Caenorhabditis elegans: one gene and its partner. The protein of the gene in region 1 interacts with the protein of each later gene in a pairwise test. Each region holds a gene or a part of one and is shown on either strand. Other genes may lie near its edges.

Region 1 (15,317 bases):
AATGTTGACGGAAAAGCAAAATATAGATCGTCTCCTTCACAATTGTATATGTCTTTGACTATCTCGTCGCCCTTTTCTCTCTCTCTCTCTCTCTCTCTCGTTCACAGTCGTCCTATTCCACTGGCTGTAGGGGCCCCCCGCCGTCGAAAGAAAGCGCTCGAACATTTGGGTCAGAGCGCCGACGACCAGGAATAGTTAGGCAGGAGACGCAGAGACTCAAGCCCATCCCTCGTGGTATCGTGTCTCCGCCTCCGGTTCTCTCGCCCTTACCTCCTCACAGTAGCGTGTGCGTTGTTCTGTGCTTGTGTCTCTGTCTGTGAGCGTGTGGAAGAAGCTGAAGAAGTTGGAAGAGCTGACGATCTGAAACAGAGAAGCTTGTTTCGAAGCTTTCTCTCTTTGATCTCGTCTTAAACACTTCTTTTTCGATCTCTCCCACCTAGTGTTCCATCGATCGGAACATTTTTGCTTGGTGTCAACCATTCTACCATTCATTCAACACAATATGACTATCCTTCATGCCGGGTATCCACAGTCTCCAGTCGTTCATTTCGGCCGTCATCATAATGTTAATATTAATCAGCTAAATCTGAATCATCTCGGACAAGTTGATAATATCCCAAACAGTGAGTTTTCTCTAATTTCTTATCATTCCTGACCTCTTTTTCTGCTTCCAAATCATATATAATGTCCTTGTTTTGTTTTTTTTTTCATCGAAAAGTCATCGACCAACTTTTATCATTTGAAATAGCCAATCAGAGCTCTAAATAACTCTAAAATCAAAAACGGAGCCAACTGGTCTGATCATTCAGATGGCATTGTTATCTTTTTTTTTAATCGCTTATTTTTGATTACCCTGATTGGAATGTCATGAGTTGGTGGCTGAAGCAATATTACTTAGTATTACTGTAGTTCTTTTTTTTTGGCAGCTGATTTCAAATAATTCAGTCGTGTGTCAATTGCAATTGATACAAAACATACCCATTAGGCCCCCAGTGTACATTCGGAAGGTGCCAGATGGCTGGGGTTTCCTTTGTTATGGCACCCTCGATTTTCCATATTTTCTTGGCATTATTTGATCTCAAATGCACATTCAAAATTTAAATATTCACCGCAACACAGCCACCTCCTACTTTTTCTGTTTATTGTTTGTCACGAATAGAGAGAGAGAGAGAGAGAGAGAGAGAGACAGCGGGTTTGCATCAGCAGATAGTCTCCCACCGATGCACCATAAGACCACCCGTCGCCCACCCGGCTGACTGGTCTTGTGACATATACTCCGTAATCTCCGGAATTGCCATTGCCCTCACCTCTTGTTGAATCCATATGTGATGAGCGGAGGGAGGTTGTGAGTAAAATGGATGTGGGAAGCGATGCTAAAAATATTTTCAAATCATCTATGTGAAAATGTTAATCTATGAAATATTAAATCTGTTGTCCATCCAAATAGGATTTATTTTTATTTATCTTTTTTTGTAGCAGCCATGCACAAATACAAAAACTGTACACAAAACATACAATCTATTTATTTTTTTGCAGATTCGGCCGTCGGCGGCGGCGGTGCTGCTTTCCACCATCTGCACACTTCTGCTGCTACTCCACGACACGTGGCCACCTCCGAGTTCTACGACGACGAGGAGGCGACGTCGCCACGTGGTGGTATCGAAATTGGCGCCGGTGGCGGCAAGATGATGGCAAACTTGCGTCGACACCGTCAACGTGAACGCGAGACGTACGAAGATGAGGATGTGTTGTCGTCGTCTGACGAATCATCCGGCCGACCGATTCCGCGTTACGTCGGACGTGACACCGACCACGTGTTCGGAGAGTTTGAGATGGATGACGAGGATGTGGTGATGAGAAGAGAAGACGGCTATGGAGAAGATGAGACCGACGAAGATTACTTTGATGAAGAGGAGCCGGTGGCTGAGTTGTTGCCGCTCGGGGGAGGAACTCGTCGGGTGCCGCGAACCCCGGGAAGGAAGAACTCGTCCAAGTGTGGATTCTTTGGTGAGGGTTTTGTTTGTTTTCCTACGACTGTTAGAGATACCGTCTTATTCAATTCCTGCTTGTTTGTTTGAACAGCTTGATTTGGTTTTGACTAAGCAACGGATGTCCCCTCTTGCCAAAAACATCTGTATTGGTTTGGTTCTTCTAGATAGAGAGAGAGAAAAATGAAAATTATTTTGATCCTAATTTTAGTTGATATTCATCACAATTAGACGATGCTTTCTAGTGATTCTCATGTGAAAATTTGATACCGGAAGCAAATTGATGAATGTGAGATGACGGCACGTAGATTAGACATTTGATTGATTTACTACTACACAGTAATGGTGGTGGTGGGGGGTATTTAGTTTTACATTTTAGTGGTAGTTGTTTTGGCGGTGTATAGAGACGGGGGGACAAACGAAGAAAGACATATAATTGACGTTGAAGCAATGAACGGAACCAAACCAAAATGTGAATGAACTAGTCTTTTTGAAGGTACGGTAGCCGTCGTTTTACGGGCCTAATAAGACGGTTCATTGAAACGGAAATGAGAAATAGGAGAAATAGAAATTATTTATTTTTCGAACTTTTTCGAAGTTTCTGGAAAATTCTAGAAAATTCTTAGAAATGATGCTAATGATGCAAATTGTTTTTGCATCATTTCACGTTTTCCAAAACTTATATTTCCTCATTTTGCAACACTTTGCATCAAATTAATCAACGTAGTATTAGAAAATGGCAATCGGTGGTAAATTCAATAGGGGAATTCCGCGCATTAGAAGAATCAGGAGACGTATTGAAGGTAATTTAGGTTAACTTAGTAACTAAAAATATCTGGCTTTGAAAAATTCTCAACTAATTTATTAAAATGTCAAAAATTTCAGACTACTACAAGTTAACGGATGAGCACTTGGGCTCCGGAGCCTACGGATCGGTGACCACGTGCAAGTCGATCAAGTCAGGTGTCGAGTATGCTGTGAAGATTGTTGATAAGCAAGGAGAAACGCATTCTCGAAAGCGTATCCTCCGCGAGGTGAACATCTTCAAGACGTGCAAGGATCATCCGAATATTGTTCAACTTCTTGACTGGTTTGAGGATGAGACCAACTTCTATCTGGTTATGGAGAAGATGCGCGGTGGGCCACTCCTTCAGCACATTCTTCAACGTAAATATTTCACCGAGGAGGAGGCTCGTCGTGTCACCAAGGACATTTCGTTGGCTCTGAAGTTTATGCACGATCGTGGAATAGCTCATCGTGACGTTAAACCGGAGAATGTGCTGTGCACTGATCCGAACCACGTGTCGCCCGTCAAACTTTGCGATCTCGATTTGGCGAGTCAACGTCCACCACAACACGAACGTCATCCGTTGAGCCAGGTGGCTTCGGAACCCGATCTTGCTTCTCCAGTTGGATCGGCCGAGTTTATGGCTCCGGAAGTCGTCGACGCTTATGTTGGAGATTCTCTGAAGTACGACAAGAAGTGTGATACATGGAGTTTAGGAGTAATCCTCTACATCATGTTGGCTGGATATGCTCCATTCCAAGGAATGTGTGATGATGAGGATTGCGGGTAAGTATTTATTTTTTCATGTTTATCTTGAAATTCGCTTTTCCAGGTGGTCCGAGGGTAAACCATGCGAGGACTGCCAACAAGACTTGTTTCATCGCATCCAAGATGGTTACTACGAGTTTCCAGAAGAAGAGTGGGGTATGATCTCCGAGGAGGCCAAGGATTTGGTCTCGAATCTGCTCAAACGTGATCCAGTGGACAGGTTAGTAACCGTCTCTTTTGTTAACCCCTTTGCCAATCGAATTCGATTGACACTTGTGGCGCAGTCGGTTGCGTGCGCTATTCCCACTCAACCAATCGTTGGTTCAATTCCTTCTTATCCTGCACTCAGTTTGTTCATTGACTGTGGAGCCTGGAAATGGAGGAGAAAGTAAATTTGATGATTACTAATACTTCGCTGTCTTTAGAGGACGCGGAGATTGTGAGACTTGAAACATTTTATAAATTTTTTAATTTTACTCAGAAATAAAATACTTAATTTCTAATTTTTTTAAAGATTCAACGCTGATCAAATTCTCTCTCATCGCTGGCTCCAACAATCCGCCGCTTCTACGATTCTCCAAACTCCATCCAATCTCATTAACCGCAAGGATTCGGCACGTGATGTTCAACAAATGTCCGAGCACTTTAATCTGATGAACCGACTTGCGGACACTCGTCTTTCGGCGAGATTCGACAATAAAATGACGATGAGCGAGTGTGGAAGTGACTTGGGAACTGCTACTATTCAGTTAGTTTATTATTTTTAAATCTTTAGTTCTAATTTAAAATTCTTTTCAGTGGTGACGGATCCTTCCTATCCATGGGTGGCGAACCTTTTGGCACTTTCCCACGAAAGAAATCTGTTGGAATTGCCATCGAAAAATCACGAAGTGGAGAGTTCACACCGCCAATCAGTCGTGCTTCTCCTACAACTCCACCTCCATCGATGCTCAATTTGAGCGAAGATCTTACTGATTCACCGGTCAAAAGAAGATCTGCCGACGATTCGGGAACCTTTTCGCTCTTCTCTCCAGCATCATCAAACGGAGACGATTCGATCTGTTCTCCACCAATGGTGTTTGTCGATATGCCATCTATTCAACTGTTCGGTACTGGAGCATTGCTTACTTCAGTTCAAATGACGCCTCGTCACACCACCGAAGACGACGCATCATTGAAGTCGTTTGAGGACGAGCAGGAGGTTTGTTTCGTCAGAATCTGTAATAATTTTGAACTAAACTATTTTAATTTCAGAATGCGAATCCCATCCATCGCATCGAGACTCAGGTCAACGTCTAAACCAAATCTTCGTCGTTGCTCCTCCTTCTCATTTAACACACAACCTCTCACCAAACCTCTCGAACTCTATCTAAGATCGCCACTTTTTTTTTCTGTTTTTAAAAATCCCCTTGTATGTAGTTTTGTCATTTTATTTCTCTTGCAATCAAATGCACTCTTGTTCTCATTTCACACGAATATTTCGTTTTGTGTGTTCGAAAATGTTGGAAAAAATCATCTAGATTTTAGTATTAGTTTTTTATTTTCAACATTTTTGAAAACCACCAATCCACCATCAATTGCTCTACATTGTAAATAGCAAGCGTTGATCTGCACCATCTCTTCTTGTTTTCTTTTTCATTTTTACTCTTTGACTTAGAAACGTGTACAGTACGGGGTTGATCACATTTTCGTGCTGGAAATGCGCTGAATTTGTGACCAACTGCGACCTAATTTGCGTGTACAAATGCCCATCCGCCCCCTCAACTCTAAAATGCATTGCTGGTGTTGTTGTTACTACGAGATCCCCAAATTTAAACAGAATGCTGGAAATACGCTGTTTTCCCATCCACTCATTGTTGACCCGATTTGTTGTTGATCTGAAGAGTTTTTTATTCTTTGCATTGACATCAATTTCTGTTATTTTTTTTGTATTTATCATCTTTTTATCATCTTCTTTGCCTACTCCCGAATCCCCTGTAACATCATCACCACATACTTTTTTCTAAGATCTGACAATCATTCACATTAGATTTTCAGCAGTTTTCAAGATTTTTCTAGTTGCCACTGCTGAAAATTTTTCTTGCAACCACGTTGCACCCTTTTTCCACATACTCCCCACCCTCTAAGACCTGTAAAACACGTGTACAAAATCAGAGATAATGTCGAGTTTCCCAGTGACTAGTTGAGCTCTTTTGATTCTCAGATCCTGAAATTCCTGAAAAAGTTTTCAATTCTGAAAGTCGAGAGCTCTCCGAGCACTGCTCCCTATCGGTGTACATACCCGCCTTTTAGTCGGAAAATTGTTGATTTGTGAAAAGAGTACTGTAGGAGATTTTTCTCTCGGCAGTTCTCCTTTTATTACCTTCCATCCATCCCGAGGATCGTTTGCAAAGCGTGTTTGACATCCAGTCTCCCAACTTTTTCTCTGATTCTCCTCCATTTGTTGTACATTTTGCTTTTAGTTTCTAACGCCTAATTCCAACATCGGCCCCCAGTTTCTTTTCGTTTAGTAGAATTGACGGCTAAACTTTGGTTTACCATTCAGAAGTCACCTTTAAAATCATGGTTTTGTCTGTCATATTAGGCCCTCTAGGCTCAGAATACTCAGAATAAGATTAGGAAAAAACCCCAAAAAAATGAAGTAGTTTTTGTAGTTTGTCTTCATCACGGTTTGGAATAGCCAAACCCATCCCAAACCAGTCTTGCAAAACATCTAGCTTGACTTAACTCCCGAGAACCCCACAGAAAGAAGCCCGTGTACCCCCAACCGTCCCACTCAATTGTTGTACGATCTCTTGTGCTGAAAATGTCGAAAATGTTGGTGAAAGCTAACTTTTTTCGATTTTTCCGGTTTGTCACAAAAATCCTTCCCCGCCTATCTCGTTGCTGGAGAATACACACACACGGGCCTGGTTTTGGTTTCCTTCTTCTCCCAAATTTCCCAACAAAATTTTTCTTAATTAACGGAATCCCGAAATCACTTTAATTTTTATATGGAGTTCACGCTCTATCTCTTCTCGATACCATTTTCCCCCACGTTCTTCCTGTCCTTTCTTCTTCATAACTTATTTTCTTTGTCTCCCACTTTCTCTCTTGTAGTAAATTAATATCCCTTTCTTCTGTTCTGCTCTGAAATTCTAATGTTATATTTATTTTTTATAGAAATGCTTCACGAAGTTCGGAAAGAATGATAATGGTTTCGAATGGAGAATAAACTGTGAATAATATATTTAAATGATTTTTTACATCACATGAAAAGAACATACAATGCATATAAGAGTTTGATACTATTGATTTTATCTGCTACCTTTCACGAAACGGAAATTAGCCGTTTTTTCAAATTTTATGAGTAAAAAGTTGTGGAATCGCAAGCTACGCCTCATGTGTGTACAAAAAAATAATGTAAACCGATCAAAAATATAAAATTCTAGTGAAAATTTGATATTTCTTATTAAATCGAAAACTTCGATTAAAAACATGTTTTTTTTGTCTCGTAAATCCTACGTCTGCAAACACCGATGACTTAGACTGCGGACTAGGCGCCAAATTCTACGCGCAAGTTGTCCAAGCTTTTTTTCTCATCATTTTTTTCTTTTTCTCCCCTTTTAAAACTTTTAAATAACTTTTGTTATAAAATCTAAAGTTTTTCTATATTTCAGCTACTTTTGGTATGGCTTATCTGGGTGTCGATACAAGCCGCATTGCGGGCACACAGCCACTGGAGGTTTGTTAGCGAGCAAGGGTGTCAATTCCCGTTTCCCGTTTTTCCCGTTGTCCCGTTTTTGGGGTGTTTTCACGGGAACGGGAATTCCCGTTTTTAAAATTTTCACGGGAACGGGAATTCCCGTTTTTAAAATTTTCACGGGAACGGGAATTCCCGTTTTTAAAATTTTCACGGGAACGGGAATTCCCGTTTTTAAAATTTTCACGGGAACGGGAATTCCCGTTTTTAAAATTTTCACGGGAACGGGAATTCCCGTTTTCCCGTTTTTAAAATTTTCACGGGAACGGGAATTCCCGTTTTCCCGTTTTTAAAATTTTCACGGGAACGGGAATTCCCGTTTTCCCATTTTTGTAATTTTTACGGGACATTGACACCCTTGTGAGCGAGTGAAAATCAATAAAAATTGTAAATTAACAATTTCAGATGCTTCTGGTGAGCAGTGGCAGTCCTGATCCACATTCTACAATTATTATTGATCCGAGAACCGGTGTTTCGTCATGGAGTTATAAGGGATCAGAATTACAAGGAGCATCAACTGGACTTGTTGAACCGCTGGGTAAAATTAATTTAGTCTCGCTAAATTAGAAAATTGATTTAATTTTCAGGTCATGACGGTGAACACGTCGTGATTACAACAAAGGAGCGACCACTCGTCCACGTACTTGCTGTACACCCAAAAGATAGATTTCATCAAAAATGTGTTCTTCCTGGCCCGGTTTCCGCAATCGTCAGTGATAATTCCGGTCATTTTGTGTTCATGAGCATCAAAAGACAACTTTATTGCTGGCTTCTGTCTACTGGAGAATTGCTATCAGTGATCGATGCGCACTATCAAAATATCACGAAAATTGTAATATCCGATGACGATTCCATGATTTTTACTGCTTCAAAAGACGGAGCTGTACACGGTTATCTTGTTACTGATCTTGTATCTGCCGATCGTGATCACACAGTTGCTCCATTCAGAAAATGGGCTTCTCATACTTTGTCAATTTCTGATCTCAAAATCACAAATGGATCGAATCCACGAGTTTTATCAGCTGGAGCCGACCATATTGCATGTCTTCATTCAATTTCTATGGATTCAGTAATTCTGAAAGCATCGTCAGACCGCCCGTTAACAGCCTGCGCCATCGATCCCGCCGAGACTCGAATTTTTATCGGAACTGAAGTTGGAAATATTGCTCAAATCAATTTATTCCAGTTGGCACCCGAAGAACGTGATCTCCTAGTTCAAGCTGGTGACGAGCATAACACGAAATTCCGAGTTCTCAATGGACATTCTGATGAGATTTCAAGGCTAGCTATCAATACAGATGGAACACTTTTGGCGTCCGGTGATGCTTCTGGAAAATATTGTATTTGGGAAATAAGTAGTCATCAATGTCTCAAGGTTTGTGTAAATAAAAAAAAAGAAGTAATATGTTTTTTTTTAATTGAAAATTAGTGTCAAAATATAGAAAACCACTTGATTTATCTGAAAATAACAGCTTTTTAAGCGGAAAAATTCGGAAAAGTGCTGAAAATTTTAAAGCTATTTGCAAATTTTAGACAATTTATGGACACTTTCTCGAATTTTTTCACTGAAATTTATTTTTTAATCAAGTGATTTTCTATATTTTGACACCCATTTTTAATGAAAAATGTTGGAAGAACATGGTGCATAGACCATTTTGCAGGATTGCTGAAAATAATTGTCCCTGATGTTTATTGAGATTTTATTCTATAATTTTGTGCATAAAAACCCCGTAAAATTAATTTGTTCCAGGTATCAACAATGCGCTCAGTAATCAATACCCTCCGTTTCATTCCATTCTGGAAAACGATCAGCGGAGGAGAACACGTCGCCAAATTTCGTCCAGTTTGGGATTTGAAACGAGAACCTACAAAATGCGATCGTTTCGCAATTGAAGTATCCACTGAATTTAACTCTGATCAGAAGCATTGGAATGACGTCATTGAAGAAACTATTGATCAACTTTTGTTGGAATCTGGAAGCAAATCATCTGCACAATTACAATGGGACGCCGAAGGACCTGCTAGAAATGAAGCTGCAAAAGCAGAAAAAGCAGCAGAAAATACAATTAAAAATATCATTACTCTTGGAGATGATGAAGATGATGCACCAGAAGTTGGAAATCAGAGAAGAAAAAGTGGAAAAAAGAATAAAAAGAATAGGAAGAATCAAAAGAAAAATGATTTTGAAGCAGCAGTTATTGAGAAGAAACAAGTAGAACCGATTGTTATTGATGACGAAGAAGAAGTCAATTCCTCGCTTCAGAAGAAATTTGATGCTTTGAAAGCTGAAAATGAGAAGCTCAAGGAAATCAATAAACAAATGTACGAATTTGTTGCCAAGGAGATTGTTGATAGCGAAAAATAGATTTTTTAATTTTATTCTTGCTTTTCCCTATTTGTTACATTGTTATTGGTGTTGCTGTTGATCTTTTTCTGTTGTTTTTGTTTTAATATTGATTAAAGAAACTTCAAAATTAACCTATTTTCAAATATCAATAATCGGTCAATTGGTCCGTTGAATTCCTGAAAAATATTTTTATAAATTTAATTTATATTTAAAAATTTTCAAATATACTTCCAGATGACGTCCGCTAACATCCAAATGGCAGTTTACTGCTTTGACGTCATCAACGCCCAATTGAATCGAGAGAAGGAACCTCCCGTGCCAAAAGAGATCCCTAATGTAAAATTGTAAGCAAGATTTCAGAAAAATCCCCGTTATTTCGTTAATGAATCAAGTTAATTTCTATATTTTAACATTAATTTCTGATAAAACAAATGAGAACTGCAGAAAATAATTGCCGACCGACCACCTCTAAATAGTACGAATCAAAAATCGAAGTTTAATCAATTCTCAAATAAAAATTCGTTTTTTCCAGACCACTATTTGTCACATGGAAGAAGGGACATCAACACGATTTACGCGGATGCATTGGAACTTTCTCTGATTTAAGGTAGAGTTTTTCACTATTTAAAACATTATTCAACAATCCAATTTATTACAGATTGGGTGAGGGGTTAAACGAATATGCGAAGACCAGCGCTTTCCATGATTCACGATTCAAGCCAATTAGCCGGGAAGAAGTTCCAAGTTTGCAGTGCGGAGTGAGTATTTTCACTTTTAAATTGCATTTAAATGAAAGTTTGTAGGTTTCTCTTCTAATAAACTTCGAGCCAATTCATAATTTTCGTGACTGGACAATCGGTCGTCATGGAGTTCGAATGAATTTCGACGATGGTCATCGCAATCGGAGTGCCGTTTTCTTGCCGGAAGTAGCTCAAGAACAAGGATGGAATCATGTGGAGACAATTGATCATTTAATAAGAAAAAGTGGATACGGAGGACATATTAATGATGCTCTTCGGTCAGCACTTCGAATTGTTCGCTTCCAAAGCTCCAAACTTGTTCTGGATTATAAGGTGAATATAATTATCCGGCGTGTACTCCTCTCGGTCAATTAATTAATTAATTGTTCTGGATTTTAAGCGATTTTGCATTTCCTCATGATAGTATTTGTGTTTTTCTATTAGAAATTAAAAAATTTAAACATATTTTCGTATTTTCGATAGTTTTCATCAAAATAACAGAAGTTATGACGGTTTTAAAGCGTTATTGGTCTGCTATTTAATGTAAAACGCAATGTTATATTTGTTCGAAAACAAAAAAATTCGAAAAATCAAGCAAAATCATGAGAAAACACGAAAAATTGCCTAAAATCCAAAAAAATTAATTCATTAATTGCCCGAGAGGAGTACACGGCCGAGAAATAATTATCGGCCATGTACTCCTCTCGGATAATGAGTAAATTAATTTTTTCTGGATTTTATGCAATTTTTCGATTTTTCTCATGATTATTCGTGTTTTCTATCAAAAATTAAATGCACAAATTGTCCGAAATAATTCAAAATATTTTTTATATACAATTTCTCTAATTTTCAGGATTATGTAAACTACAAACAATCGCACGGACTGCCACTACCACGTTAATGATCTCTTTCTATGTATTTTTCTTTCAAATTCCTGTAAAATATTCTGTATTATGATTGAAATAACTGTATAATAACTGAAAATTCTGTAAAAATATCTAAAATAATCTAATAAATTTCTATTTTTTTGAAATCCGTTTGGAAAAAATATTTAAGTGTTTCTAACCGCACTAACCACTATCTTTTCAATTTATTTTCACCACTTTTTGCTTTTGCAACTTTTCCACTTTCTAACCACTCTCATAATCTTCACAGAATGGCCGACGCAGTTGCACCAGCAGCTGCTCCCGAAGCAGCTCCGGAACCACAGCAAGGTGGCGGAATTTGGGGAATGATCAAGCAAGCAATCACCATTTATTTCGTAGTTTCCATGGTTTCTGTAAGTTGATCTGGACATCTTAATTTGAAAAATGAATTCAAAAAAATTGAAGGGATTCTTCCGGCCATCGTCGTCGCCTGGAAATGATGGAAATGTGACAGCATCTACTGCTGGAAATGGAAATAAAGCGATGAATATGTTCCCAAATCATCAGATTTTTGATTTATACGTTTACATGGATGATAGTGTTAGTTGACTTGGAGAAAAAGTTGAAAATATCGGAATTTCCAACAATTTCAGGATCTCCCATTCAGACAATTCGATTCAGCACCAGAAAAGTTGATTTGGATGCGAAATGGAATGAAGTATGATGATTGGATTAGTGGTGATAATGAAGTTTGATAATTCTCTAGATTTAATTAATTTAACTTCGTATTTTCTAGGACGGCAGTCACACAATTCACAAAAACTTCCCAACTCCTGCTGCATTGCTCCGTAATGATTCCCTCTGGCTTCACACGTTCATCGTTAAAGCTGGCCAATCACCGAATCCCAAGGATCGGAATTATTTCAAGAATCAGGTAAAAAAACTAAAATTTTTCATTTTTTTAAATCTAAAATTTAAAAATTCAACATAAAACTGGAAAATTTGGAAAAAAAAAATTATTTAGATTAATTAAAAAAATTGTACGAGAATTGTATAGATTTATCAAAAATATGCTAATTTTTATGTAAAAAATATAACAATTAATTTTTGAATTCGTTTCCAAAAACTGGAAACCGAAAAAATCATTAAATATTAAAAAAAATTAAACATAAAAAAAACTGTAAACTTTTTTTGTGGAAAATATGTAGGTAGACTTTCAGTTAAAAAAAAAGAAAAACTAGCCGGAAATTTTTGAAAAAATTGTTTTTTTTCTCAAAAAACGAAAATTCGAAAAAATACAAAAAAAACATTGAAATTTTTGGATTTTCCGATTGTTTTGAAAACCCGACACGAGGATTCTATAGATTTTTCAAAAATATGTTGAATTTTATGTGAAAAAATAATTTTTTTTAAACATAGAAATTATTGAAAATTTGGAATTTTTAACTCAAACAGTCTCTGTTTGTTTTGGGAATTTTTTGGAAAAAAATGTTTGGAAAGTAGAGAAATTACCGGAAATTATTGAAATTTTTAAATTTTTTTTAGAATATCGAAAATTCGAAAAAAAAAACCAATTTTCGATTCTTTGGAAAATCTAAAAACACAATTTTTTTTGTGAAAAATTTAAAAACCAACATTATCAAGAAGAAAAAGAAGATTAGTTCAAGATTAAAATAAATTTCAAAAATATATATTTCAGATCATCTATAAATCATATCAGCTGAACAAGTACAAGAAGAAGTATTATCGAAAAACTTCAAACTTGTTGACTGGTGAGAGTGAGCAGAGTGATGAGGATCTTGCCAAAGCTCAGATTATGAAATATGAGGTGAAAAATCTAAACAAATATCGAAAATTTTGGAATTATTGTCAATTTTTGCAGGTTCTCAATCACTGGCATCCAAACATCTCAATCTCTTTAGTCGTTGATCAAACTCCATGGGCTCGTGGCCAAATTCCACCACCACTTAGTGAAGATATTGAATTTAATGAAGACGGAACCATCTACAAGCCTATTTTATTCTATAACAATTGGTGGAATCTCGGAGCAGATTATCAACCGATCAATGAAACTGTCAAAGATCTTAACTTGACAATTACCTACTATCCAATGTCAGTGTTCAAATATCAAATGTACGCAAGTCAGCGGATGCAGTCTCAATGGCAATCAATGTTATCTATGGATGGTGCAGATATGGATGATGATGGCCATGATTCTATGAAACAAGCACTTCTAGAGACTAATCCAATCCTTTTGGCAGTTACTATGATTGTTTCACTTCTACATACCGTATTCGAGTTTTTGGCTTTCAAGAATGACATTCAATTTTGGAATAATCGAAAAGATCTCGTCGGATTATCAGTTCGATCTGTGCTTTTCAACATCTTCCAATCACTGATTGTTTTCCTTTATATTTGTGATAATGAGACAAATACAATGGTGAAAGTTACAGTTGGAATTGGTTTGCTCATTGAATGCTGGAAGATTCCGAAGGTGATGAATGTATCCATCGACTGGCAGAACAAATGGTTCGGAGTGATTCCACGTTTGGTTATCAGTGATAAAGGATCATATGTAGAGAGTGAGACGAAGATCTACGATCAAATGGCATTCAAATACCTCGGATGGGCACTTTTCCCACTTCTTGTCGGATATGCCATCTATTCTGTAATCTACGTTGAGCAAAAAGGATGGTACTCCTGGGTACTCAATATGCTCTATGGATTCTTGCTCACGTTCGGATTCATTACCATGACACCTCAGCTGTTCATTAACTACAAGCTCAAATCAGTGGCTCATCTGCCGTGGCGTATGCTCACTTACAAATTCATCAATACGTTTATTGATGATTTGTTCGCGTTTGTGATCCGGATGCCGTTGCTCTACAGAATTGGTTGCTTCAGAGATGATATCATTTTCCTGGTGAGAAAATGTCGAATAGATTATGAGGACGCAGAAAATTGCACTTTTAAAAACGCTCCTCCCCAAAGTATTGGGTCTCGTTTGGAATTTTATTTCAAAACCACAATTTCGCCAAAAAGAACGAAAAATTCTTGAAAATCGGTGAAACTAATTGAAAACGTTTGAATTCACGGATTTGCTGCCAAATTACCAACTAATCTATTGCTGTGGAGCGCGCGTGCACATCGATTTCAAAAATCTCATTTTTCTGCGTCCCCATAATACCAAAATAACTTTAATTAAAAAATAATATTAAAATTTCCAGATCTACCTCTACCAACGCTGGGCGTATCGCATTGATCCAACTCGACTGAACGAGTTCGGCACAAGCCTCGAGAAGGAAACTGGAGCACCGGCGCCGACGCCGGCCGTAGAAGGATCTTCTGAACCTTCCCAGGAGCCCGAGCATGAATCAGAACCAAATTCAGAGCATGCAAAAGAAGATAAAAAGACAAAGTAGAATTTACTTGATTTTTTTAATATATTAAAGCAAAACTATTGTTACGGGAATCATGTCTTCCGATTTACTTGTCGTCCATCTCCCCATCTACTTTTTGTTTCCAGTCGTTAGTGAGATTTAAATCCCCTGAACTTCTCAATTATATATTTCCTGTTCTCTTTGAATTCTTTAATTTATTTGTTATAAACTTTTCTTTATTAGAAAAAATAGTTACAATTCAAGTGCATAAGAACCATGTAAACATTTTTGGGGAGAAAGTGGTGATGGGTGGAGGAGACTAGTAGAGTTGTAAAAATCTGTGAATAAAATGGACTGAAAGTGTGGCAAACATTTAGGCAATTTTTAGAAAATCTTTTTTTTACTATTCAAAGAAAAAATGACGGGATTATTCAAATTTTTGGAGCAAATTAGGCCATTTCGAATGACCGGAAAATTTGAAAATTTGATCTATTCAGAAAAATCTTTGAATTTTTTGAATTTTCACTGCATTAAATGCAAAATTTTTGTGAAAATCCTATGGGCTTTTCGCTTCGAGACCCAAAAATTTATAAAAGCAATCAACTTGCAATGCATTGGATGCGAAATTGAAGTTTTTCAGTTTTGAATTCAAATTTCTTTCTCAATAGAGCAAGACAAACATATTAAATATTTTTAAAA
Region 2 (17,921 bases), on another chromosome or scaffold:
TTTTCAGAGCTCCAAGGAATGTCGGTTTGACTTATCGAAAGCACCGAACTTAGCAAAAAAACTTATAGAAACAAACAATTCAACATATTTCTACAATACCTGATAAAAATTTGATAATTTTTGAAAAAAAATTTTTTTTGATTTTTGAAAAAAAAATCCAAAGGGTCCCCCCTTACAAAATTTTTCAAAATTTTTTTTTTGGAAACTTTTTATAATATGATTAGATGTTATAGAAAAATCCAATGTTTGTAATTATTTCTAGTTTGTATGTTCTGAACACGATTTCGGACGAAAACCTGAGGTGTAGTAGAACAACTAAGTTCAAAAAACGCGTTCACTTTGGATGCGTATATCTCCGTGGAAAAATTTTTGATGGCAAAGTGATCAACTACAAAGTTGTTTATCTTAATCTGAAGTACAACTTTGTAGTTTATTGTTTCTTGTCAAAAAAATTGTTGGTCGAGATAAAGTTGTGTTCATTTTGGCAACTTCATGCTTGAATTTTCTTCTTCTTTTTCTATTCCTGTCTCAATCAACAATTTTTTTGACAAGAAACAATAAACTACAAAGTTGTACTTCAGATTAAGATGAACAACTTTGTAGTTGATCACTTTGCCATCAAAAATTTTTCCACGGAGATATACGCATCCAAAGTGAACGCGTTTTTTGAACTTAGTTGTTCTACTACACCTCAGGTCTTCTTCCGAAATCGTGTTCAGAACATACAAACTAGAAATAATTACAAACATTGCATTTTTCTATAGCATCTAATCATATTATAAAAAGTTTCCAAAAACTTTTTTTTTCAACAATTTTTTTTCAACAATTTTCATCATAAGGGGGGACCCTTATGATCAAAGTAATGATTTATCAAATTGGATGAAGAGGGTCATATTTAGAATTTTTATCGAAATTTCATTCGAAACTCTTAAAGTTGAAACGGAAATATCTTACTTAGTACTATTCGATCTATTTTTCAGCGTTTCAATGCGTTTTTTAACACCAATAAATCATTTCAATTCAACGCTTACTCTCATTATGAGTTTCATAGCAACGACACTCCGAAATAACCCTAGCGCGCCCTCTTTAGCGAAAATTTTATTCAATTTTTTTTTGCTTTTTTTGCAATTTTTCTCGTTTTTTTTCACGATTACCGCTAATTTTGCGTGATTTTGTGAGCAACATATTTTTCTTTTTCACATTTTTATAATTTGCAGATAAAAATCGAGAAAATCAACGAAAAGGATCCTTCAAAACGACGGAATAGGAAAAAGATGCCAAAAATCAGGTATTTTCAGAAATATTGAGAAACTCTGCGTCTATTCTTCTGTTAACTAATTATAATTGGTTTCTTATTCGAAAAATATAAATTTTTGTCACGAAAAAAAGCGAGAAATAATCTTCGAATTCAGATATTTCGTCCCGACGCAACTTCGCCGGCTTCGACGAGGAATCCTGCAGCGAGGGACACGATTATGAGCTGTTAAAGTGAGTTTTAAAGTTTTAAAATGTATTCTCCCGAAAGAAAAATCGTCAAACTAACTCTAAAGCATGATAATTTTTACAGGAGTGTCGCCGGCACCGACTCCGAACGAGAAAAGCTCCGACGACCGCAAACGAGAGCCGAAGGAATCTGGAAAGCGAAGGTAATATTTTATTTTCAAATATCGATACTTGTTTCTAACGAGCGAAAATGTATAATGTAATGTAATAATGATTAATCTTCTTTATTAAACTTCTTTAAAATTAATCATTTGAATTTTTCAGAAAATGGATCGATAAAATCGCTTACTGGAGGAAGACAAAAGGAAGAAAAGCGGAAACGAGTCAATTGCCGATGACACCAGAGGACGATTCATCGAAATCATCAAAAGATGAAATAAATTATTTTGTTTTTTTTTCGATTTAAAATAAACGATAATACTATAATATACTCGTTTTATGAATATTATTCTTCACTGAAAAGCAAAAGGAGGGGAATGGAAACGATAGCCTTCACCCATCGCTCACCCATCGCTCACCCATTAGCGAGCCGCTAACATGCGAACGGCGGCCCACCGGTGTGCGCGCTGTTCGTGTGTCGGCGGTTCCCCCCTCGCCTATATGCGGTCCCCCCTCGCCTATATGCGGTCCCCCCTCGCCTATATGCGGTCCACCGGTGGGCCGCCGCTCGCACTTGGCGCTTTACCTGTGCAGTTGGGAGAGCGTACGACTGAAGATCGTAAGGTCACCAGTTCGATCCTGGTTTGGGGCAATCTATTTTTACTTTTTTGGTATTCTTATATAAACTTGGTAATTTTAAGACTCTCTACATTGCTTGGACCACACAAAGAGCTATTCTTTGATAGGATATGTCGGGCAGCCGATATACAAAGGGCATCTTTGAAAAATCGTTTGAAATCAAATATAAATGTAGGATATTTTTTAAATTCAATTTTCCAATATTTTTGACTAATAGTAAGATTGCAATTTTCCAGAAATTCGAGCCCAGCACACCTCTGTCGTTTCAACCGGGATTCGATTCTCAGAGCTCTCTTTCAACGACTTCAGAGAGCCAAAATTTTGTGGTGACCCCAACAACTCTTAGCAGTTTATTGAACAATCACACAGTAAGTTTTTATGAGATTGTCGTAGTAGGTAGGCCCGTGCCCATATTATCATAACAAGTCTACCTGACCTACCTGACTATTACACATTTTCTGCATTTTGAGGCCACTTTAGATGATAACTTTAGATGTAGATGTAAACCTTTAGATGTAAACCAACTGAGATAATAACAAATAAGTAGGTCTTGTAGTGTAGCAGTAGGTAGGCACAAGGAAGGTATTATATGCCTACGTCGATGTTATACTGGTTTAATTATCAAATCTTTTAATTTTCAATAAATAATTTAAGCGGAAGAATCACATTGAAATGCTGGCTCCACTAGCGTCCGAAGAGGAGTTGATGAGATTTCCTGCGGAACGACAGTTTGATCTAATGCAAATTGGATTTAGTTACGATGAAGTGAAGCAGTTGCTGGAAATGTTTGAAAAATTCAAGAATGACGTTCAAGAGATTAACAGGCTTCATACATTGACACAGGTGAGGAATAACGGTTACTGCAGAGAAACGAGAGTGTATGTATTCTTTGGATTTGGTTGAAGGCACCTAATTCAGATTCTCTGGATTAATTGTTCCTAAAAAATATTTTTGAGATCCTGAATCAATTTTGCAACTACATCTCAATGTACGCACCACCCAATCTGAAAATGATATCATCGGCGTTCAATTTGCTAGAACTTGGAAACTCAGCTCATGAAGTGAAAAGGGTTTTACTGAAAGCGGTAATCTAAATATTCCATCAAAAAATATAACTAAATGAAATTTTTATAGCGTCGTCGTGAAGAATCAGAAGAATCAGATGTTTCATTTTCCAAAAAGCCACGTCCTTCTTCTAGATCTCCTGCATCTCCAAATCGAGATGATCTATTGTTGGGACTCGATCGTTCTCCGCCCAGCGATGATGGAACTCAGAAAGTTTGAAATTGAAATTGATGAATATGAAACACACTTTTATTATATTTAAGCACTTACCTCGGTTTTGGATGATTTCAAACGTTTTTCTACTGATGCTCCACTTTTAATTCAGTTCTCAATTTCTACAGATTTATTATTATTATTATATCAATATTAAGCAAACCAGTAAGCTCGAAATACAACATGCAGAGGACGGATGAATTCTGACCATTTTACAATTAAAAAGCGAAACATATGAAAAGAATATAGTGCACAATTAAAAAAAGAAGTGAAAGAGACCTAAAGCCGAGTACAGTACTTTTTTGTTGATATACGCCTAGTGACTTCATCAATACTGACAAATGATCGAGTGGGGAATCTAATTAAACAACAAGTTTAGAGCTTCGTAGCCATTATGAACATGACACCTTCTCCGTCCAAAACGTATTTCTTTGCATTGGCAACATCAAGACCAACAGATACAAGAGCATCAAGAATCATCTGTTCACTGAGATTGAGGAGATGGAAGATTGTCTGTAAATTTTGATTTTTTTTGTTGGCATATACATACGAGTATTTTGGCTACGAATTTTAATGCAGGTCTATTTATACAGTTGGGTCTCGCCGCGCGAAAAAACAATCATATGTTTTTTTTTTAAATTTTGTACAAAGTTTGGAAATATGCTAAGAGCGGGTAAAAGTAAGAGGAAGTAAAAAGAAAAACAAGAAACATCCTCGAGAAAACGGTTTATCGGTTTTTCCTTTAATTTTAAGTACAGTAACATGTTAGTCTTGCGGCCCCACTGCTCCGTTTTCGAAGTTAATGTATCGCTTAAACGTCTAATATTTCAGAAAAAAAAAATACTAGCACTGTTTCAAAAAGATATGTTCTATCACAAGTCTGAATTTGTATCCTTCAATCCTCATTCCCATCGCCTAAAACCAATAAAACTTCTCTAGCTATCATATATACCTGCATCATTGACGCAATCACACAAACTGACCCCGTTAAAATCGCAAGAGCACAGATCAAATTACCAGATCAATTGGCCCTTTCCTACCTTTCTTCCCGAGTTGTACTCATCGTCCTCGAGCACCGAACCAAGCACAAAACGACCGCCGGAACGGAGATGTCTCATCTGGAATCACACAAAATCAAAACACATTTTGATTTCACTTTTTCTCATTTCAAACTATCAAATCTGGTGCCATTCAGTCGTTGGCTCATTCTCATTTCTTTTTTTTCCGAAAAACGACACACTTTACATCTTGGAAAAGATGAAAGACATCTGTTTCTAAACTCTTTTTTTTTTCATTTTCTTCGTTGGCACCGTGAAAATTGGATATAAGATAGACAGAGAAATAGAGAACGGGTGTAAAGGGGAAGTGAACACTGATTGTGAAGAGATATAGGAATATGAAAAGAAAGTTATGACGAAGTTGTTACTGGAGAATAAAATAGATCGAATTACACTTACAATAACTCTTTGAGCTAGTAGTTTACTGTAGTTTACAATTTTATTGTTCTCTATTCGAAAGAAATTCGTGTTTTGAACTTAGAAATGGAGAAAAAGAAATGTGAACCAAGATCTATCTTCAGTACTGGGATTTCAGAAACTATTTTAGAAGAGACGTGTAAAATAACCTTAATGGCATAATCAAGCTCCTAAAACGAACGATATGCTTAAGCCTAAGCCTAAACCGCAAAAATCCATTTAGACTTACCATATTAGTGACACATTTACAATACTCTTCATAGTTGCGACAAGCACTTTCTAACGTGAAGATCGACACCAGGATATCCACCTTCTTCCCAGCCAATTCAGGGACCACATCCATCTGGTGAACATCTGCGAAATGAATTCCACCAGACTTGACCAATCCGCGGGCTTTTTCTTCAACATCAATGCATACTTGATCTGTTGGAGTGGGACCTCCTTCCGTTCGGTTGATCACTTTGATAGTTGGCACCCAGTCAATAGTCTCCTCGTGGCGGATCCATTTTCTCAGAACGTCAAGGTTCCGATCGACAAAATCTGATAAGTGAACACGCTTTGCCACATCACGGAAACAAAGAGCCGAATAGACGGTTGGTCCTGCTCCAATATCCAGAAGAGTTTCACGTTCAGAAGGTCGCATAGTTTGGAGCATAAGTTGGGCGAAGACAGGAAGTGCGAATAGGGAAACACGGGTTCCATCTTCAATAGCATCTCTGGAAATGAGAAATGAAATTTTGGATATATATGGAATGTCTGATGTTTATACTCTCTCCCTTGGATTGTTCGTTCCTTGTCAGACAGGTACTTGACTTGATAGCACCCAAAAATGTGTCGTCTCATTTTCAAAAGTTTAGAGTCTAAGAGCCAATGATGCCTCCCTCCTCTTTTCTCAGTTTTTTCGATCTCTTGACACAAAAGATCCTCTCCTACTCAAAAAGAGAAAAAGGTAACCGATCTGCGACCGATTTCGTGTGCAGCAGCAACAGGAGCAAAGCCAAAGCAAGCCGGGGATAAGAGGTTTTGTTTGTGAACAAACCACTCGTTTTTGTGTCAAAAATGAAGTGAACGGTATCGAGAGCGGATAGAAAGTGCAAATCGGGATCGAAAGTTCTAGAAATTGAAGCCCGTTATTTATGAAAAATGTTTCTTCCAAGTTTTGTGGCGGCAACCTCGCGCGCAAGATTATAACAACCGACATAATACTGGATTCAAAACATTAAAAAATTGCGGCAACCGACATTTTACGGGTTTCATAACCAATTTCTGGAAAATGGTAGCTTGACATGTTTGTTGAAGCAGCCTACATGATAAGGGGCTCAGAAAGTGTTCATTGGTGGGAGGCCGACATCTCATGGGTTACATCGAACGGTCGTTGCGACATATCAAAGATTTCTGACTAACCTGCTGAAATAAAACTGCAAATACTCATCAGGATCGAACTTCTTGACGTAGTCCTCAGGCAAAAGTACAGTATGCTGGGCATCCGATGATTCCGTAATGGTAGGGTCGATGAGAGTAGACATGACGAGGTATAAATAAGAGATTAAACGACACTGAAAATATTTTAATTTTTTTGAGTCCAAATTTTTGAAAAAAAAAATCAGAAATATAACAAGGAAACAAAGCACTTTTAAAAGTCTATGTATATCTCTATTTTCTTCCGCTTTTCACATGTTTGTTTTTCCCTCAAAATCTCCAAAATTCTTAAGTTTACTCCTTTTTTCCAGAAAAACTCTAATATTTAAGTGATAACACCCACGCAGAGTGCAATTAAATATCGATACAACAATTCATTATCATCATCAAATAACAAACAATTAACAAATGAGGCATCGACACTCTCGAAGTAGCACAAAAATTGAGTGAGGTGGCTCTTGCACAGAGAGCGAGAGCATAAGTGTGTGCTCTGGCTCCGCCTATTTTTTCGGAGCTCTGGGAGAGAAGGATAGAGAGAGAGAGAGGGAAGAAGGGATTTCCCGAGGCTCCCGGCAGGAAGTGTTGGGAGCCAGACAGTGGGAGCAGGCACAGAGTACGAAGAGCAAAGTGGAAAGATGGGAAACAACAAATTATGTTATGAGGAAGTTTTTTGGCAGATTGGTTATGAAACTTTGCAGAACTTTAATGCGTTACTGTAAATTTAAGGGAAAGTAGGTTCCATCGAGCGTACTTACGAAAATTGTACTGTAGCTCACTATCAGTACACTGTACTTTCGAAACATTTTTCTGGATTTCATCTTTCTGGAATTTTTGAATTTTCAATATGGAAAAAATGTACTTAAACTTCATTCGAAAATTATATGACTTCAAAGGAATAGGGAGGTTAATCGAAAAGTTACTGAAGTTTTCGAATTTTTGTTGGCCATTTTGCTTACACAAGTGCGCCCCACTTCACACTGATGTCTCTTTTGAAAATATAATAATAAGTCAATCGAAAAATACCGATTGTGTGAATTTTTCTATACTGTCCCTATTCCCCCTTTCATCTCCCCCCATTGACCACTTCTCCCCATCCCCTCCTCCTATTATGCGTAACACCCGGCATGTCTAGGCCACGAAAGTTGTGGTTCGTCGTGCAGTCATGTCCGAGTGGTTAAGGAGATTGACTAGAAATCAATTGGGCTCTGCCCGCGTAGGTTCGAATCCTGCTGACTGCGTTAAATTTTTTTCAATTTTTTCGCACATTTTTTTCGTTGTAACTTCGAAATTGTACAAAATGAAAATATACTTGATAATAAACCAAAACGTGCAGTCATGTCCGAGTGGTTAAGAATGTCCGAGTGGTTAAGGAGTTTGACTCGAAATCAAATGGGCTCTGTCCGCGTAGGTTCGAATCCTGCTGACTGCGAATCTTTTTGAATCTCGTCAGTCGATGTAACTTTTGTATCGAAACCATTTGGAGAAAAACGATGGAGGAGGAAAGGGCGTGTTGACATTATTTTATTTATCGAAAAACTGAAAATTCTTGTTCACACGAGACCAGGCCACATATTTTCACAATGCGTCATATCAGTTGGGGGCATTGAATCATTGTTCTTCAATATTTTTATCAGTTATTCTTCAATGAATGCACCTGGGATTCCATACCTATCATCATTATGAGTGTTGAAATATTGTTTCGTCCTCTCTTCCAATCATCTTCTCTTGTTGTTAGTTCCAATGCCTCTCCTTCCTCTCATATGTTCTAACACTTCTTGTGAGACAGACAGTTGGCATAGAGTTCCTCGACGCAGATACCTATACAGTTACAACACTATTTGCCCTGGGGCGTACTTACATTGATTTTCTTCACTTTTCTTAACTATTTAACATACTTTTTTTAAGATGGGCTTCATCTCATTATTGATTTTTCACCCTAGAGAAACCAATTCAGTACTTCGGAGACTATAGAACTTTTCTAACTTTCCGAAGTTTTAAACGGAAATATTGGAATCCACGTTATTTTCTAATTGCCTCAAACTGAAACTATCTGAAATTTTTATTTTCAAAGAAACTAAAAAAGCAATTTTAGTATCTGAATTTTTGGATGTTGTTCTTACTTGACGGAAAGAAAATACGTGCAATACGTTCATGTGCAGACAACGGTCTTTTTTCAGAAATGAATAATAGTTGCTAGTATTATTTTTTTCTTAAACTTCCAGGCTAATTTCACCTACAAAAATTCCAAAAAATAGCAATGGGTGGATTTTCGATATTTTCGCGAAACACGAAGCCCATTTACGCAAAAGTGAGCACAATGGATGCTGATTTGGAGAAGATTGTAATTGAGAAAACATGGACAGGAAGACATTTATTTGAAGCAGTTTGTCGAATTATTGGATTACGGGAAACTTGGTATTTTGGACTACAGTTCACAAATAAAAAGAATATTCCATGTTGGTTACAGAATGATAAAACTGTGAGTTTTTGTTGAATACATTTTTGGGGATACGGTATTTCCAACAATAAAACCAAATTCTAATTATCAAATTAAAATATTTTGGGAAAAATAATTTCTCTGAAAATAATTAATTTTTGAAATTTTCCAGATCTGTGGCCAAGACATCCAAAAAGACACATCTGATGGAACTTTTAATTTCTTATTTCTTGTCAAATTCTATCCAGAAGACGTGGAACCTGAGATTATTCTAGATGCCACTAGACATTTGTTCTTTTTACAAATACGAGAAGCAATACTTTCAATGAATCTATATTGTTCACCTGAAGCAAGTGTTTTATTGGCCAGTTTTGCAGTTCAAGCAATGGTAAGATTTTTGTATTTTAACTGGGTTTTACAAAATATGAAAATGCCATTTAAATTCCTTTATTGAACTTTTAAAAGATCGTCAGTTGAGAAAGTGTTTAAAATCACTCATAAAATTTTTAATATATTTCTGAAAAATTGAGAATTACAATATCGAAATTTACCAAAACTTTTGCTGTAAAATTTTGAAAATCTAAAATTTTCAGAAAGGATATTTGAAGAGTATTTGAAAATCCCATTTTCTTCCAGAAAAATTGGCAAAACATTTTCAAGTGCCTGAAAATGTTTCTGAAAAACTATCTATATACACTTTATTCAAAATCTAGTAAAAACGAATTAATTTTCAGCATGGCGACTGTACAGAAGAAGTTGGTCCAATTGATCTTGACAAGCATTTACCAAAAAGTGTGATTGATCAATATGATATGAGTGCTGATATGTGGAGAGATCGAATAAAACGATGGTGGTCACGGAATGCAGGACAATCAAGAGAAGAAGCTGAACTTGAGTATTTGAGAGTTGCACAGGATTTGGAGATGTATGGAATATTATATTATCCTATTTGTGTAAGTTATTTGAGAGATTCTGTTTGAACGGTTGTGGACATTTGAATTTGAGATACATAATTTTATTTATTTTCAGAATAACAAAGAAACTGACTTACATCTTGGTATATCCGCTCAAGGGTTGGGAATCTATAAGGGAGTGAATCGAATAACACCTCGGCCGTTTTTTAGTTGGAGTGAGATTAAGAATATTCAATTTAAGAATCGAAAGGTAATTTTTTTAAAATTTTCTTTTCACGATTTCCATTGTACGTTCAGTTTCACATGAAAACCGTCGACAAATCCACAATATCATTTCGATCACGAGAGACATCAATTGATTCTTCAATATTGGATCTTTGCATTGGAACACACAATTTGTATTTAAGGAGGAGGCAGCCAGACACGTTAGAGGTATGTGTCTTTTATAGTAGGGCAACTTGAAAATTTCTATTCAGTTTTCTACGAAATGATAACTGTATATTTCAGGTTCAACAAATGAGATCACAAGCAAAAGAAGACAAGCAACGTCGAGCAGCAGAACAAGCAAAAGTTGCATTGGAACGAAAAGAGAGGCAGCAAATGGAAAAAGAATATAAGGAAATGAAACAAAAAGTTGAAGTGATGACTTTGGAATTAATGAAAGCTCAAGAAAATATACGAAAGGCAGAAGAAGCGAATGATCAATTAGCAGAGAAGGCACGACACAGTGAACATGAAACTTTGATGTTGTACAAGCAAAAAAGTGAAGTTGAAGCTGAATGTAATCGATTAAGTATGAATAATATGAAGGTAAAAAATCAAATTAATTATGAAATTAAAGTTTAATTTTCAGTCCGAAGAAGCTCTGTTGAGAATGGAACGAAAAGCTCGGGAAGCTGAGATTTTGGCAAAGCAGATGTCAATGTCACTAGCAGATGTAAGCCTTGACGCGAATCGGAAAATGACACAGTATTCGAGTCAGTCTGCGTTGATTATTGATCCGGTAAGTTAATGGAAAATCTTCCCATTTTGAGTAAATCTTGACAAAACCGTAATGGGATTGATAGAGGATATACTCGATTAATACGGTTTAGAAACTTTCAGAATTGGCATCAACAAGTATCTGGTCATCAATCAGGTCATCCTGGTATGCCATCAACAGGATCATTTCATCAACTGCAATCACTTGACAGTTAGTTTTTTTAAAGGCACAATAAAAAAGTCTATTCCAAAATAGTATAGAAGTATAATATCTATAGCAACTTTTGCATGATAATTTTGGCAATGGGCGTAAAACTATGTTTAAAAGTTAAGAATAAAAGTTTGCCGAGTCAAAAAAGTCTAGATCACATAATAAAAACCGACCCCCTAATCAGTTTATCGAATTTTTTTTTGATTATGTAACTTCAACATTTTCTCACAGCCAGGTATTTGCAAAGTTGCCTCAAAAAAGAGAACACTAAAAAATATTTTGGTAATGATATTATAAATTCAAGATCTTCAAATGAGAATGTGTCTAGTTGTAAACTAATTTATTGTTTGTAATGCCAATTTGGGAATGAAATCGCAAGCCAAGTTGCTACTGTTTTTGACCAATCCACGTCTTGTTAGAAATAAGAAATAAGAAAAATATGATTATATTTATACGGAAACAACATTTTCAGCACACACTCATCCTCAACAAATGATGTCTCGAAGTCTGAATATGCCATCATCTGCATTTTCCTCCCCAATTCCTTCAAATCAACCACTTTCTCATCAACAACCACAACAAATGTCTCAAAATACTCAAGCTCATCAACAACAAACTCAAGTTCAAAATCAGAATCAACCGCCATATTACGGAGGATCTGGTATGATTATTCCACCACCCGATCCTTCAATTAGTCAGATTTTCGAGCAACAGACTACTCTGATGGAGTTGGAAAAATCAAGGTTAGTTTGGTAATTAAAAAAAAAGGATAACTGAATTATATGCTAGCAGAGTTGAGCAATGGAGGTACAATCCTAATAGAGAATAGTATGTGACATTAGAAATTTTTTCAGGTCAGAATACGAAACACGAGCGCGAATCTTCAAGGAGCACCTGGAAGAATTACGTGGCGATATTGACGGCCTGAAACGAGACGGTAATGTACAAAATGGGCAGCATCGAGAGCATGATGCGGTTCATGCACAAAATGTGGCACACGGTTTTGATAAGTTCACGACGATGAGAATGGTAAGTAGATAATTTAGCAAGTTCTGTTAGCATGCTACCGTTCTGAACGGTTACTAAGCTGATCTCATGATCAGAAGGTCAAAAGTTCAAAAAGTTATTAAATCTCTTTTTCATCCTATTCTATTATATGTTAAGCTTCTAATTTATTAAAATTTCGCGCGTTTGGCATTTGTAAGTTTGACGCTTAACTTCGGAATATCTCCAGAAAAAATCAAAAAGCGCAAGCTCAATTGGCTCATCGGGTTCCTCCGATTCCTTGGAGCTCAATACTGTCGCTAGACATGTGGCGGGACGAGGGATTCCACGTGTCTCTACAGTATCCACTACGAGCTCGTCAAGTATTCTGAGCCACGTCATGATGCTGCATAGACAGCAGTCTTATGATTTGGGAAACACTGAATGGCAGGAAGCTGACATTTGAATATAGTGAGAAAATAGTGCCAGAGTTTGATTGTTGTGTGGTAGAGCGTGTTTGCATATTGACTAATTTTCCAATTATTGTTTTCTAACACTTGTTGATTGGTATTTTTGTTAGAGTTGAAAATAAACATTCATGGTTCAAGCGCTCTATGAATAAATTCAATAATATGCACACTGTAATTGTTTTTTTTTGACTTAAAATTTAAAAATCAGGAATCGCAACAATGAACGCAGCGCGAAAAATATTTCTTAGAGCGCAATCGTTACGTCGGGTACTGACACGAGATTATTTTTTCCGCTACAGTATCCAATAGTAGACGTTCCATCGTTTATTTGGAAATTCTTTTTCTTGAGTTTTTATGTTTTTGTAGTAAACCTATTCAGGGAAAATAAGATTTTCACAACAAAAACTCGAAAAATTTTTAAAAATAGAAAGAAACAAGAAAAAGCAAAACCCAGGGTACGGTATCTGAAAAGTTTCGCTCGCGCTAAGACTTTATTAATTTTATTAATTGATTCAAAAAATCACACATTTTTTAGTGAAACTATATCTTTGAATTTCACAAACCTGTCCGTCGGTGTATTTTGTTGTGATTTTTCAAATTTTGAAATGAACATTAGTGTGGTATTGATTGATTATTCTTCTCATTTTCCAATTATAATTTTCTTATAATTTCAGAGTATGCGAGGAACTCCACGACAACGAGCACAAGCTTTTGATGGAATGTGATAAGAAACTTTATGGCCATTTATGAACCGATTTTCCTTTTTTTTCTTCAGTTTTTCCCCATCCCGATAAGAGATAACCCCATTTTGTGCTCATTCAGTTTATTGATTTTTCCACACCCTTTTGCCATTTTTCAATCAATAATCTTTCGTGGCAAGACAAAAACGCGTATTTTTCTTCTTTTTTCCGAAAGGCATATTGTGTAAATATACATATCGAATGATTGATGAATACAGATTTTTTTTAAATGTTTTTTTATTAACTTAAAATAATGAAAAAATCTGTAATTTATTAATTCATTTCCAGCAAAAATGGGCGAAAAATTCAAGGTTTTCGTGTATGGAACCCTGAAAACAGGAGAGCCAAACTACAAGGTTCTGTCAGAAACTGACGGAGAATATCGGTAAGTTCGGGAGTACTGAAGAATTTTGAGTGTCAAATGTGATGCATTACTTCTTTCAGATTCATCTCATCTGGAACTACAGTGGAAAAGTTCCCATTGGTAGTTGGAACCAAATATAACATTCCATTTTTGCTTGATGATGCTGGGAATGGAAATGTGAGTTTTACAACCTGAAGTTTATTTAAACCGACGTACTTTGAAGCATATTGACAAGTAATTAAAAAAAAAGAACGAGAACGGAATCAGCTTTGGCAGGGAAACAAAGATGAATAAGGAAATTTTAAAGAAAGAAACAGAAAAATGATTATGCGCACGGTTTAAAGGGAGTATAAATGCCAAAAACTTGTTTAGATCCGAAATTTTTTTGGTATTCAAAATCTTTGAAATTTTTTTCTTTCCTTGAATCCGGGGACTGTGACAGGGGGAAACTAAAAATTGTAGGGGATGGGGATACTAACTAATATGAAAAAAAAAACAAACAATAATGTACATTATACCAGAAAAAAGGATATACATTGAGGATTGAAGAAAGGGGAATTCAAGAATCATTCTCCACACATTTCCGCTTTTTCATAGTATTTATTTGCGAGCTTTCCATTCATTGCTTCCATTGCTGCTTCAGCAGCTTCATTGAATAGACCATATGCTCGTTCGAAGTCTTGATTCAGGCCATAACCTCCCTCTTTGTACATTTCAGCCATTTTGGCTAGAATCTCGTGACGAGTCAGTGGAGCAAATGAGGAGAATGTCGTTTTTCCACAATCAGAGTCAAGTTCTTCTTCTTCTTGGAATCCAACGACGCGTTGATACCTACAAAATTTAGAATATTTCTCAAGTTTATAGAAAAAATGTTAAGGAACAAAATCATCCAAGAAGTCCAGAATAAAAATCGCAAATAGGTCATATATGATTTTCTTTTTGAAAAATACAACAAGTAGATTTAGTTTTTTCTGAACATATTTTTTGAAGGTTCCTAGTTTTTCTGGTTTTTCACAATTTTTCTTATAAAAAATGAATCAGAGACGGGTACTTCTATTCGAATTTTAAAAAATTTTCGATTAAAAAATTTCAATTTCAATTTCCAAATTTCCTAAATGTTCAAAAATTCAAATTTCAAAAAATCGAAAATCTTCGTTTTTTGATTTTTTTTTTCGTAAATTGAAATTTTTATTTAGAAGAAAAAAAATTTCCATCGAAACAAACAAAGTTTGATGAAATTTCAAATCTGTTAATTACATTCTAAATCTTTTTTTTCGATTTTCAATTTTCCGGCTATTCGAAAAAATTTTCAATTAAAAAAAATTAGAAGCTATAGCATCAAACATTTTAGCTTTTTTAGGTTTCTTAAAAGTATTCTCTATAAAGTCGGGTTACTGTATCTTCACTAGAATCTCATAAATTTCTTACCAATCAATCGATTTCTTATAATCCGTTCTTCGATTCGGTCCGAGATGCTGACCAGTTTCATAAGCGTGTGCCATGTACAGCATTGCACCCTTATCACCCATCTCTGCAGCAATTTCCATCAGATCGGAGCCGAACTCTTCTAGGTCTGAAAATTTTTGAATTTTGATAAAATACGGGATGCTGAGAACACTAGGATTGAATCTTTCAAAAAAGGAAACAACACGAAAGGTTAAATTGGGAAATCACAAAATAATTTTTAAAAAGCACACACGAGAAAACTTGATTCTTACCACAAGGTTTTTGTCCTTTATCAGCTGAAAAGTTGGAATTTCAGATTTAAAAGAGAAAAATTAACAAAAAAAGCTCACCTCGAATTCCATTTTCCTGTTCTCCAAACCCATTAGGAAACAGATCATCAACGGTGACTTCTTTCAACAATTCATGTGGTAATCCGAGAACAATATGAGCCGATGTTAGCACAGCCTCAAGGATTCCACACTTCCGAGCGATATCCAAATGGAAAATTGCAGACTGCTTGTCGTATTTGATTGGTACACGAGCGTCATTTTCACTTCCCTCAAGCATTTCCTTATGTTCTGAATCAACTTCTACGAACCGCCCGAGCTCATGATATCGTGAGAGATCAATATGAATCTGACCGAGGACAGAGAACTGATGCCCGGTGACTTGTGGTACGTCTTCATCATTTTCCAGGTTAGCAGCCATTTGTTGAAGTTGAAGTGATAGAATGTTTGCTGGAACTGATTGTTTTCGAAGAACCTTCCAGAATTCATCCTTTTCAGTGTCTCTGGTTTGTCTAGAACTATTCATAGAATATGTCCCAACAGAACTTCTGAAGCTATCATGTCTCTGACGAAGTGAGTTTAAATCTACAAATCCGCATTTTCTAGGACGAGATGCTGATTCATCGCCAGAAGATCTCGTTGAAATGCTCATTCTACTACGTCGACTTTTCTGACTATTTCCACTTTTTTCACTTCTTGGATAGTCTTCTTCTTCGTCCTCTTCATCTTCGGAGCAAGGCTCACAGAGTTGCTCAACAACTGGAATACACTCAGGACATACACAGTCTTCGTTGTGACTCTGAAAAATATAAAAATAGAATACGTTAGAACTTTTTTAAATGTTTCTTTCACCTTTGCTGACAAATCGGTTGACGATTGATTCAACGTCTTCCTTTTTCTCAATTGATCCATCGAAATACCATGCTCGACATGTACACATTCACTTGAAATTCGATTTCTTCTTGCTTCGAACACAGTTGGAGGAACTATGCATGACTTTTTCTGCTTTGCAGCTACTTCCATCGCAACTTCGGTAGCCTCGATTTCAGGTGGCGAAAGTTCGAAATTTGATAGATCCATTGTCTCACAAATATCGTTACATCTGTGTGAATGGAAGAAAAGAGCCATTCCACGAGTTCCGAGGTTTCCATCTCCATAATCAGTTCCCACAACTGTATGAATCTGAGGATCTGTGTAAAGATCACCAACTCCTTGAATATCGACAACCATCATTTGATGACCAGAACGTTCGAAGGTGAAGTGAGAAAATGCTTGTGGTGTAAGACGAGCTGCATTTGATACAAATCCTGAGTTTGAATTGTATTTTATATATTTTCCCTCGATGAAATGCTCCAAATGATAGAGTGGAGAACCTTTTACATCAATCATCTCAATGACACACATTTGAACAATATCAATTTTCTTCGGTGGATTATACCGATTATATTCTTCAGCCCATAATTTGGCATCCATCTGAAGTCTGACATCATCGAAAAGAACTCTACGATCGACTTGACAAATGTATCTTTTTGCGACATAGTTGCTGCTCCAATCTTGACTTGTTCCGTGCTTGGAGCACTTTTTGAGTCGGTAGCATTCTCGCATGGCTCCACGTGCAAAACTGTCCGGATGAAGTCTCACATCGACTATATCCTCTGTCCATTGCTTTCTGATTGCAGAATACCTATATCGTTTAGCTCGTTGTACTGGATACTCGTGGATGTTGAACTCATCCCATGGATCTATATAGTTTGTTCTTGCTCGGCGAGCAGCCTTGCGCCATGTCTCCATAAGTTTTCTAACGTGGAGAGGATCCATACGAGGCTTCTCGATAACGACATCATTCTGTTCAATGAACACTTCATCTGCGTAGTCGTCGGTTATCCGAACCATTTTTGACGCATTGAGCGAGAATGTCCGAGCCGAGGCCTTGAAAGTAAAAATTGTAGTTTGTTTAATTGAATTTTAATTAAATAAATTTAATTTTGTTAAAGAATTGTTTTCAAAAATCCCACCTCCAATCCTGGTGAGTTAGTTGGACTATTGTCGCTCTCATTTGTTGTGTCGATCGTCATTTTGCCCAGTTTGACTACTGAAACAACTATTTTGTAAATAATTAATCCAAATTTTTTCAGAACATTGAAGGAGAAATGTATGAAGTTTGCGAGAAGAAATTGAAGGTGCTCGATGAGTTGGAAGCCTACCCAACATTGTACGATAGAAAGAAAGTTGAGGTAAGTCAGATAAAAAAGGTTCTGTTTGATTTCCTACTGTAGATGTTTTTATTCTTAAAAAACGATATTACCTAGTTGCGAAAAAGATTTAAAGTGTAAAATCTATGAAATTGGGAAAAACTGGACGTGGAGAACTACCGTACTTTTTAAAGGCGCACTCTCTTGTTTGCGCTGAAATTTTTTGGTCGCGTTGAGACCAGGTATCGTATCAGAACTCAAGGCAAGTCAAAGGTCTTGTTTTCTATGTCAGGCCCAGACACTACTCATCTAATCACACCCAACAAAAAACGAGCATGAATTAAAGCGACAACGGGGGGAGAACGTGTCGAATGAAAGAATACTTGAAAGCAGATGATAGAGAAAAGAGAAGCAAACAAACATATAAACAGTTTGATTTCTGTTCCATCGAGATGCGTCACGTGCTGGTCAGCTGAGAGCTT

What was found.
Region 2: the proteins of pro-1 (region 1) and nfm-1 interact in a two-hybrid assay, tested with the Caenorhabditis elegans proteins (one large-scale study listed by BioGRID).

What each region holds. Positions count from the first base shown.
Region 1 is NC_003280.10:10,533,882-10,549,198, reverse strand, and holds pro-1 (Pre-rRNA-processing protein pro-1), read left to right. Parts: upstream 1-7,202; 5' UTR 7,203-7,213; coding exon 7,214-7,267; intron 7,268-7,690; coding exon 7,691-7,823; intron 7,824-7,872; coding exon 7,873-8,660; intron 8,661-9,035; coding exon 9,036-9,650; 3' UTR 9,651-9,761; downstream 9,762-15,317. Other genes in the region: MAP kinase-interacting serine/threonine-protein kinase mnk-1, read left to right, coding at 1,537-2,007, 2,874-3,561, 3,608-3,763, 4,058-4,291, 4,342-4,744, 4,798-4,842; R166.3 (AMMECR1 domain-containing protein), read left to right, coding at 9,867-9,976, 10,165-10,239, 10,291-10,390, 10,436-10,705, 11,226-11,273; R166.2 (Cleft lip and palate transmembrane protein 1 homolog), read left to right, coding at 11,529-11,651, 11,704-11,838, 11,892-11,987, 12,035-12,172, 12,938-13,066, 13,121-14,161, 14,466-14,660. UniProt on the Caenorhabditis elegans protein: Component of the PELP1 complex involved in the nucleolar steps of 28S rRNA maturation and the subsequent nucleoplasmic transit of the pre-60S ribosomal subunit. Required for processing ITS2 sequences from rRNA intermediates during 26S rRNA maturation.
Region 2 is NC_003281.10:6,151,209-6,169,129, forward strand, and holds nfm-1 (FERM domain-containing protein), read left to right. Parts: upstream 1-8,280; 5' UTR 8,281-8,670; coding exon 8,671-8,892; intron 8,893-9,022; coding exon 9,023-9,238; intron 9,239-9,584; coding exon 9,585-9,803; intron 9,804-9,879; coding exon 9,880-10,014; intron 10,015-10,061; coding exon 10,062-10,196; intron 10,197-10,271; coding exon 10,272-10,574; intron 10,575-10,617; coding exon 10,618-10,767; intron 10,768-10,868; coding exon 10,869-10,956; intron 10,957-11,428; coding exon 11,429-11,699; intron 11,700-11,810; coding exon 11,811-11,985; coding exon of another isoform or gene 11,986-11,997; exon of another isoform or gene 11,998-12,190; coding exon 12,191-12,406; 3' UTR 12,407-12,411; exon of another isoform or gene 12,412-12,418; intron 12,419-13,084; coding exon of another isoform or gene 13,085-13,135; 3' UTR 13,136-13,377; downstream 13,378-17,921. Other genes in the region: rotr-1 (Nbl1_Borealin_N domain-containing protein), read left to right, coding at 2,304-2,412, 2,478-2,609, 2,896-3,084, 3,198-3,326, 3,376-3,525; anmt-2 (Nicotinamide N-methyltransferase), read right to left, coding at 3,895-4,032, 4,560-4,637, 5,224-5,710, 6,399-6,520; F42A10.9 (Gamma-glutamylcyclotransferase family protein), read left to right, coding at 13,444-13,535, 13,595-13,691, 17,383-17,481; efk-1 (Eukaryotic elongation factor 2 kinase), read right to left, coding at 14,081-14,345, 14,943-15,087, 15,233-15,256, 15,311-16,046, 16,100-17,176, 17,263-17,322.